2 linked regions of the Ovis aries genome follow. The protein of the gene in region 1 purifies or fractionates together with the protein of each later gene. This does not show direct contact. Links are inferred from orthologs where the notes say so. Each region holds a gene or a part of one and is shown on either strand. Other genes may lie near its edges.

What was found.
Region 2: the proteins of WTAP (region 1) and DDX39B purify together in Homo sapiens (affinity purification with mass spectrometry; 3 studies listed by BioGRID and IntAct, with this or other methods). This does not show direct contact. The link is inferred for Ovis aries from reciprocal best matches to the Homo sapiens genes WTAP and DDX39B.

What each region holds. Positions count from the first base shown.
Region 1 is NC_056061.1:83,743,799-83,747,709, forward strand, and holds the start of WTAP (pre-mRNA-splicing regulator WTAP), read left to right. Parts: upstream 1-1,213; 5' UTR 1,214-1,557; intron 1,558-1,682; exon of another isoform or gene 1,683-1,856; intron 1,857-3,911. UniProt on the Homo sapiens protein: Associated component of the WMM complex, a complex that mediates N6-methyladenosine (m6A) methylation of RNAs, a modification that plays a role in the efficiency of mRNA splicing and RNA processing.
Region 2 is NC_056073.1:26,836,106-26,839,916, forward strand, and holds part of DDX39B (spliceosome RNA helicase DDX39B), read left to right. Parts: intron 1-405; coding exon 406-524; intron 525-2,754; coding exon 2,755-2,886; intron 2,887-3,574; coding exon 3,575-3,684; intron 3,685-3,783; coding exon 3,784-3,811. UniProt on the Homo sapiens protein: Involved in nuclear export of spliced and unspliced mRNA. Component of the TREX complex which is thought to couple mRNA transcription, processing and nuclear export, and specifically associates with spliced mRNA and not with unspliced pre-mRNA.

The sequences.
Region 1 (3,911 bases):
CCTTGTAGGATTGACTGGTTTGATCTCCTTATTGTCTAAGGGACTCTTAAGAGACTTCTCCAGCACAATTCAAAAGCATCTAAGCGTATACTGTACTTTTATCCTTATAAATCACCTCATTCCAGAACACCTCCTTTGGGGATAAACGGTTTTGGTGAAGCTGGATAAGGGGAGCCCAATGCAAAGACTATCTGACTCCTCCAGTAAGTTTAAGAGTCTAACATCCACCAGACAACACCATGGTTCTGTGATAGACCAGTTGATCGTGTAAGGGAGGGTATCTGAATTAAAATTTGTATTAGAGGGTTCTTTAGGGGCTATTTATTGTCTCTCATCTCTTACTCAACTATCCTGTATGATGACAGGGAGGCCGGTGACTTAAATGCAGCGTCTCTGGACCAAAAGGAGCCCCCACCGTGCCCTGATATAGATAATACCTTAACGTTTCAGACAGTGAGCCTGTTGCTAGGCCTGGAATGAAGTGGACTTTGCAGTCTCTTGCAGTGAGGGAGAGGAGAAGGCAATGGTACCCCATTCCAGTATTCTAGCCTGGAAAATCCCATGGACGGAGGAGCCTGGTAGGCTGCAGTCCATAACGTCACTAAGAGTCGGACACGACTGAGCGACTTCACTTTCACTTTTCACTTTCATGCATTGGAGAAGGAAACGGCAACCCACTCCAGTGTTCTTGCCTGGAGAATCCCAGAGCCTGGTGGGCTGTTGTCTATGGGGTCGCACAGAGTCGGACACGACTGAAGCGACTTACCCGCAGCAGCAGCAGCAGCAGAGGGTAGAGTAAGCCATGGAACATAAGTCATGTTAAGAAAAATTGTTTATTATTGCTCGCCACTCATGGCAAGATACTTTCTGAAACAAACGAAACAAGACAAAAAGAACTCAGGAGGTTGAGTTAGCAAGGTGCCCCCAGAGCAGCAGACAGAAGTACAATCTCCACCTCCCAGACAATAGCTCCCAGGTTTCGCCTCGAGATTTCAAGGAGCAGTCGAACCAAGCGTCCACTTCCAGGATGAAGAGAGGGCATCGGTTTCTAAAGTATCAAAACCTAGAGCAGCGACGGTTCGCGACATCTAGACTGACCGCATTCGCTGCCTAAAGCCGTCCTCAGGAGACTTGCACCTGGCCCGCCAGCACGCGGAAGCATCATCGCTGGGCGCTGCACCAAAGGGCAGCCAATCAGTCACTGCCTTCGTCCAGATTCCTCCGCCGGAGGCCGCGCCGCAGCCGCAGGTGGCCCGGCGAGCGCGTCCACCCAGCGCCGCCAATCGCGACCCCCGCCGCCCTTCCCGTGATGCCCCGCGGCTGACCTGCGACCTCGCGGCTCGCCTTTCCCTGAGGCCGGTTTTTCTCCCCGCCCCCCTCCCCTCCCCTCCGGCGAGCTTGCAAGGGCTCTAGCGGCCGCGGGGCGTGCCGCCGGGCGCAGCTCCTCCCTGAGCGACTGCAGGCCTCCCGGCAGGCGCCTTCCCTTAGCCTCTCCTCCTCGCGGCGGGGCCCAGCGGGCGGGTAGCCGCGACCGCGTCCGGGAAGCACTACCCGTCGGTGAGTGGGCCGGGCGCGAACTCCGCGGGGCGGAGAAGCGGGCGGGCGCCAGCGGCGGCGCGGGGCGGGGCGGCGGGAGGAGCGGGAAGGGGGTGGGGCGTCGGGGCCTCGCTTCCTCCCTCAGCGCCATTTTGTGGCAGCGAGACCCGCAAATAAAGGGGAGCGCCGGGGTTGCGGCGCGGAGGAGGAGCGCGGGGGCCGGCGGCGGCGGCGCGGTCGGGCGGCCTGGGCGGCGAGAGGACAGCGCGGGGTCGGCCTATGTGACTGGGCGGGCGCCGGCGCGGCCTCCGTTTGGAGAGGTAGGTGCGGGCCGCCGCCGGCTGCAGCGGAGGCGAGGACCTCCGAGTCCCCAGGCGGCTGAGGTGCGGCCGCCCGGCCCCGGAAGGGGCCAACTGAGCGCAGGAGGCGGACTCGGGGTTCCCGGGCCCCCCGGCCTCCCGTTAGCCCCGCCGTCTGCCCGCTGGCAGGGACGACACTTCCGCCGTCTCGAGGCCATTTTACCTCGGTTCTCAGGGAGCCGGGGGCGAGGTGGGCGCTCCCGCGGGGCCGGCAACGCCGGGAGGCCGTCCCCTCGGAGCGCGCGTCCCGTCACCCCCTCGGCGTCGCGGGCTCCCCCACCTCCCTCGGCAGGATCGTGAGGACCGGCGGCACCGACGAGCCGAGGGGAGGAAAGCCGCGTCCGTGAAGCACATTTCACGTCGCGCAGTAGCTTCCTACTGCAGCTGCGTTGTCTTGTAGGCTTCCATTTTTAAATGAGTGCATGCCTTCTAACTAAAATAAATACTGACTGAATTCAAGGTTTTCGTGAAATTTTAAAATCTCGCCTTGGATCTCTCTAAACCGCATTTCTCTAGTCAGTGGGGAACACGTAGTGGAAAAATGTCCACGTTTGTTTTGATGAAGTCAGGTTGGATATTTGATCCCAAAGGACTAGGTTAAAATCCGTAATAACCGTGTTCATAAGGGAAGCAATGATTCTTTTGCCGAGATTAGAGAAAGGTAGAAAAATATTTCCATGAGCATGTTATGGTCCTGAGTTCATATAGTTTTCTACTTAAGAATTTGGTTCCATCACTAAGGAGGATAAGTGGAAGTCACAGGTCTGTCACCACAAGTTTCTTCAAAAAGAAAAGTATTGTGAAAATCTTTGCACGATGCCTGTTACACATTTACATATGTCATTTATTTATTTATTTTTTATATATGTCATTTAGTATCATCTGATTAGGCAAGTTGGGGAAAGAAAATGCGGCGTGTGATAAAGATGAGGTTAAATTTCAATGATTTGTTTCGCTGTATTCCTACAGTTCTTTCATATCTTACATTATCTTCAGTAGTTAGCTATAGCTAAGTGATCAGTATTTTCACTTCCCAGTAGCAGAACTTAGGCAAACTACCTAAATTTCTAAGTCCCAACTGACAAAAGTAATGATGATCAAGTGTATCCCAGGCACAGCTAGTTTTTTTACTTAACTCATCTAACTTATAGAACTTCACCGGTTTGAATTTTGAGTATTTGTCAGAAATGAGTTGGTATACAGAAAATTCATAGCCTTGTGGCATGGAGAGGAGAGTTGTAATAATTATATTTGTCCAGTCCGTTACAGCACTCAGAGTCCCTTACGTTCATCTAAGTATGTATATATGTAATACACAGTTCCCCTGGAAATATTGTTTATTTTAGAGTCTCGATCATTTTCATACAATAGAACATTATCTTGCTGTTGAAAAAGATTTTTCTTAAAAATTTTCTGTGGGATCCTTTAGCAAAACAAGACCTAAACAGTATTTGGTTTTATTTTTGTTTTTATTAATTATCTCCCATTATTCTGCCTCTAAAAGTCCTGTCTGACTCTTCTGCTACCCGGTGGGCTGTAACCCACCAGGCTTCTCTGTCCATGGAGTTTCCCAAGCAAGAATACTGGAGTGGCTTACCATTTCCTTCTCCAGGGAATCTTCCTGACCCAGGGCTTGAACCCGTGTCTCCAGCTTTGCAGGTAGATGAGCCACCTGGGGCTTAAATATATTCTAGTACTAAGCTTACTAGAACAAAACTTCTCAATATTCCTCTAACACTATATCCCATTACATATAAAGGTGGTGCATCAGGCTAGAACTCCATGCTATAAAGAAACGGTCCTAAGTCTTGAAAATGTAGTTGGTGGAATTTAATTTTTTCTAAGTGCTCTTATGCTAATATTAGTATTTTATTTGAAATATATTTGTTTGTAGAGCATCTTTATGGTACTTAAAGCACTGAGATTTGTAGCATTTGGTGAGGCAGGCAAAATTGGCATCCTCTTTGCTGATTTAGAGGCTGCAATCTAAAGAAAATGACTTGCTCAATATCACAT
Region 2 (3,811 bases), on another chromosome or scaffold:
TAATAGGTGCGCGATATTGGTAGACAGTTGGAGCTTGGGGAGAGAGGAGTAGGGAGAAGGGCTTTGTAAGGACTTAATCTTTGTGAGTCTCTGCAGTGGGCTTTATCCCCATTTTCCAGTTGTGGGCTTTGGGATTTCATCTAATTTCTTTCGTGGTTAAAATACACGGCTGGAACCTGGTCCATAGGCACTGTTGTTCCCACTGTATTGCAGCCCTGGACGTGATTACATGGCGGTTGGAGATAATAGAGTAGAGAGAGACCCGAGGCAAATCTTAACCCTGACCCGCAACTCTCGGCTCACCCATTTCCAGCAGTCCTTACCTCATTGATAAGCCTGTCTCTGATCTTCATTTATGATAATATGTCTCTTTTCTACCATAATTTTTTTTTCTTCTTCCTGTAGACATGCGTCGGGATGTCCAGGAAATTTTTCGCATGACCCCCCATGAGAAGCAGGTCATGATGTTCAGTGCTACCTTGAGCAAAGAGATTCGTCCAGTCTGCCGCAAGTTCATGCAAGACGTAAATACCCTTCTACCTTCTCTCCCTCCACTCCCCGCCCGCTGCCTTCTCCCCCTCCGCGCCCTCTTCCTCCAGACTCCCTTGTCCTTCAAGCGCCAAGAAGGGGGCACGCGCCCATTTGAAAGTGATGACTCCTTGAAGAGACACACAGAGGCAGAGACAGTTAGTGTTAGGGTCTGCGCGGCGCCAGGGAAACTCCGGAAGACTTGGTCGGGTTAACGTGAGAGCGGGTAGTGTTCGACTTTTTTTTTTCATCAAAGCATTTTTGAACCTCTTCTCCCTTTTGGGGGAGGGCAGGATTTTCTGCCCTACCACCCACCCATCGTCTTCTACATACCCCCTACAGCCACGCACCCTCCAGGTGGCGTCAAGCATACAGCCGGAGCCTTCTGCTCCCCAAAGTCATAACCTCCCGGTGGCAGGAGAGCAAGAGAGGGACAGACAGATGGCAGGGCATGTCCAAAAGAAGAGCAAACAGCACACACGAATCCGCTCCCTCCCCACCTCCAGGGGTGGGGGCCTTTGGCACCTCAATCCCCGAGTCCATGCTCCTTCCTACCCGTACCTCCTCGCACCCGTCGGAACCTCGGTTGATGTGAACCAGCAGCAGAGAAGCACCGTGGCGCGGCGGGGGAATGCGGACGCACCCGGCGGTGGATGGCGGCAGCGGAGGCCGCGGGGAACCTGACCAGGAAGCTGAGGACCAAACCAGCCTCTTTTTCTGTTCCCGGTTTTTTTCCTGAACCCAAGGCGTGCCGTGCTCCCTGTTTCTTTCCGTTTGTGTTGGTGGGGAGGGGTGTTCTGAGTAGGGTGGTAGATTTTTATTTTTTCTTCTTTTTAACTTTTTTAATACTCAGAGGGATATGGAAAAAGTAAAGTGAAGCGCTCCACTTGGGTGTAACCAGGTGGTGGTAGGGTCTGGGCTAGGCGGGCCCTTGTGTAAGCAGTGGAGTGTGTTCTTTCCCTCCCTCCCTGCTGTGCTCCTTCCCATGGACCATAACTCTTACCTTTAGCTGTATTTGGGGTTCAAGTTAGATTGGAAGGAAGCCATGGAACTTCTCTTTGGAAATCCTTCCTTTGCTAGTCTGCATTCTGAAGTTCAGCTTCTGGTTTTCACTTATGACACACTTACCCTTTCCCCAAATCTTGTACCCTGGGGTTTTACGTTAACCATGGCTTCCTGGTGGCTCAGATGGTAAAGAATCCACCTGCAATGCGGGAGACCTGGGTTGGGAAGATCCCCTGAAGAAGGGAAAAGTTATCCACTCCAGTATTCTTGCCTGGAGAATCCTCATGGACAGAGGAGCTTAGTGGACTTCAGTCCATGGTGTCACAAAGAGTCGGACACGACTGAGTGACTAAACACAGCACACAAGGGAAATTGGGCTTTAGAGTTGACTCTTGTGTCAATTACCACTTTTTTTTTTTTTTTTGGTGAATGCTATCTACCTTCCCTTCAAGGGTTGTGTGTGTTTGTTTTGTTTTTAAAGATGACTGAGTAACTCTGCTGCTCTGAATTTGCTTCTTACCACCACTCATTGTACCTTCCTCGTAACACTATAGATGGTTTGATTTTTCGTTCAGAGACCAATCTCTCTCAAACTGTTTCCTTGTGGTCCGAGAGCAAGTTGCTACTCAATCTTTGCCTCTTTTCATGGCATTTTGACCTTAAGTCCATTGAAGTATTCTGATCTTCCACCTTCCTAATGGAGATATGGGAAGACATCTACCTACCTTATGGAGATATGATTCTCCTAGTTGAGAGAATATGCAAATGGAGCTCTGCCCTGTATTAAACCAGCTCTAATGGAGTTATTCTGACCTCGAGTCACTGTTGCCATGATTTCCCAGGTGTTTGCTTCATGTTCTCGCTTTGAGAACCACTTCCCTTTGTTTTCTTTCCTCCACCACCTCCGTTTGAGGTAATGGCATCTTGCCATTTGGTGGTTGGACTCTGCCCTTTCCTCCCTGCAGAGTTCCTTTCCTATAACAGTTTTCAGTTGGGAAATCTTAAAACTCAACTGATAGGAAGGAAATCAGATCTAATGTCCAAAAGACCACATTAAAATGTGGGTATTTTTGGGGGTGGGGCTGGGTTTTCAATCTTCTCTCTTCTCCCCATCCCCCCATGGGGTGTATTGGAGATCAACTTCCTCCACCCCCCCAGGTTTAACCCCCCCACTCTGCCCTCCTCCCGTTCCCCACCCCTTCCCTCCCCCCTCCCCCCCAGCCAATGGAGATCTTCGTGGATGATGAGACGAAGCTGACGCTGCATGGATTGCAGCAGTACTACGTGAAACTGAAGGACAACGAGAAGAACCGGAAGCTCTTTGACCTTCTGGATGTCCTTGAATTCAACCAGGTTAGTTGTCCAGGGTCCAGTAGGGAGAATGAGTACATCTCCAACTGTTGGCAGAAACCTTTTTATTGAGGAAGCCACGTATGCCATGTGAAAGAGAATAGTGGAAAAAGTCTTTTAAATGAGAGACTTAGGGGCTGAGCGTGAGCGCAATGGGAACTGCTTTTCTGTTCCATGCCTGATACAGAAAGTAAACCTCAAATTATAAAATCTTGAGTCTTAAAGTTAATGAGAGTCCCACAATAATTAGACAGGTTCTTAAATTTGTGTTTTGCACTGCTCACCAGGGAGAAGTGTTTCATTAGTGTGATTTGTTTGCACTAAAAATCATTTTCTATAAGCTCTTACTATGTTTGATGTTTTGGTGAGTGGGAATAATGGTCATGTCTTTCCAGACTTACGTCAGGTTTTTACCGTTCTCATGTGGTGGCTTCATTCTTGTCTCCTAATGTATCTGGTAGTTTTGGTTACTGTTTTCCATATCCTCTGCAGCATGTTTGTCTGCTCAGGAAAAGTCAGAGCCAAGCGGGAAAGACTTAGTATTTAGAGCAGAAGAGGAACTATGTGATGGGGACTAAGGAGTTCTTTTAGAAGAGTGTAATTACTGAGAACTCCTGCTCGTAATTTTTCTCACACACACCCACATGGACGCACATCCCTCCAATCTCATACACACCACGCACGCACACAGGTGGTGATATTTGTGAAGTCTGTGCAGCGTTGCATTGCCCTGGCCCAGCTCCTGGTGGAGCAGAACTTCCCAGCCATTGCTATCCACCGTGGGATGCCCCAGGAGGAGAGGTGAGTCAGAGATGGGCAAGATGTTTTGTGTCCTTGTGAGCAAAAGGGACCATTGAGAGAAGAGAATCTCAACACTTTCTGCTTTCCTTTCTCATAAAGGCTTTCTCGGTATCAGCAATTTAAAGAT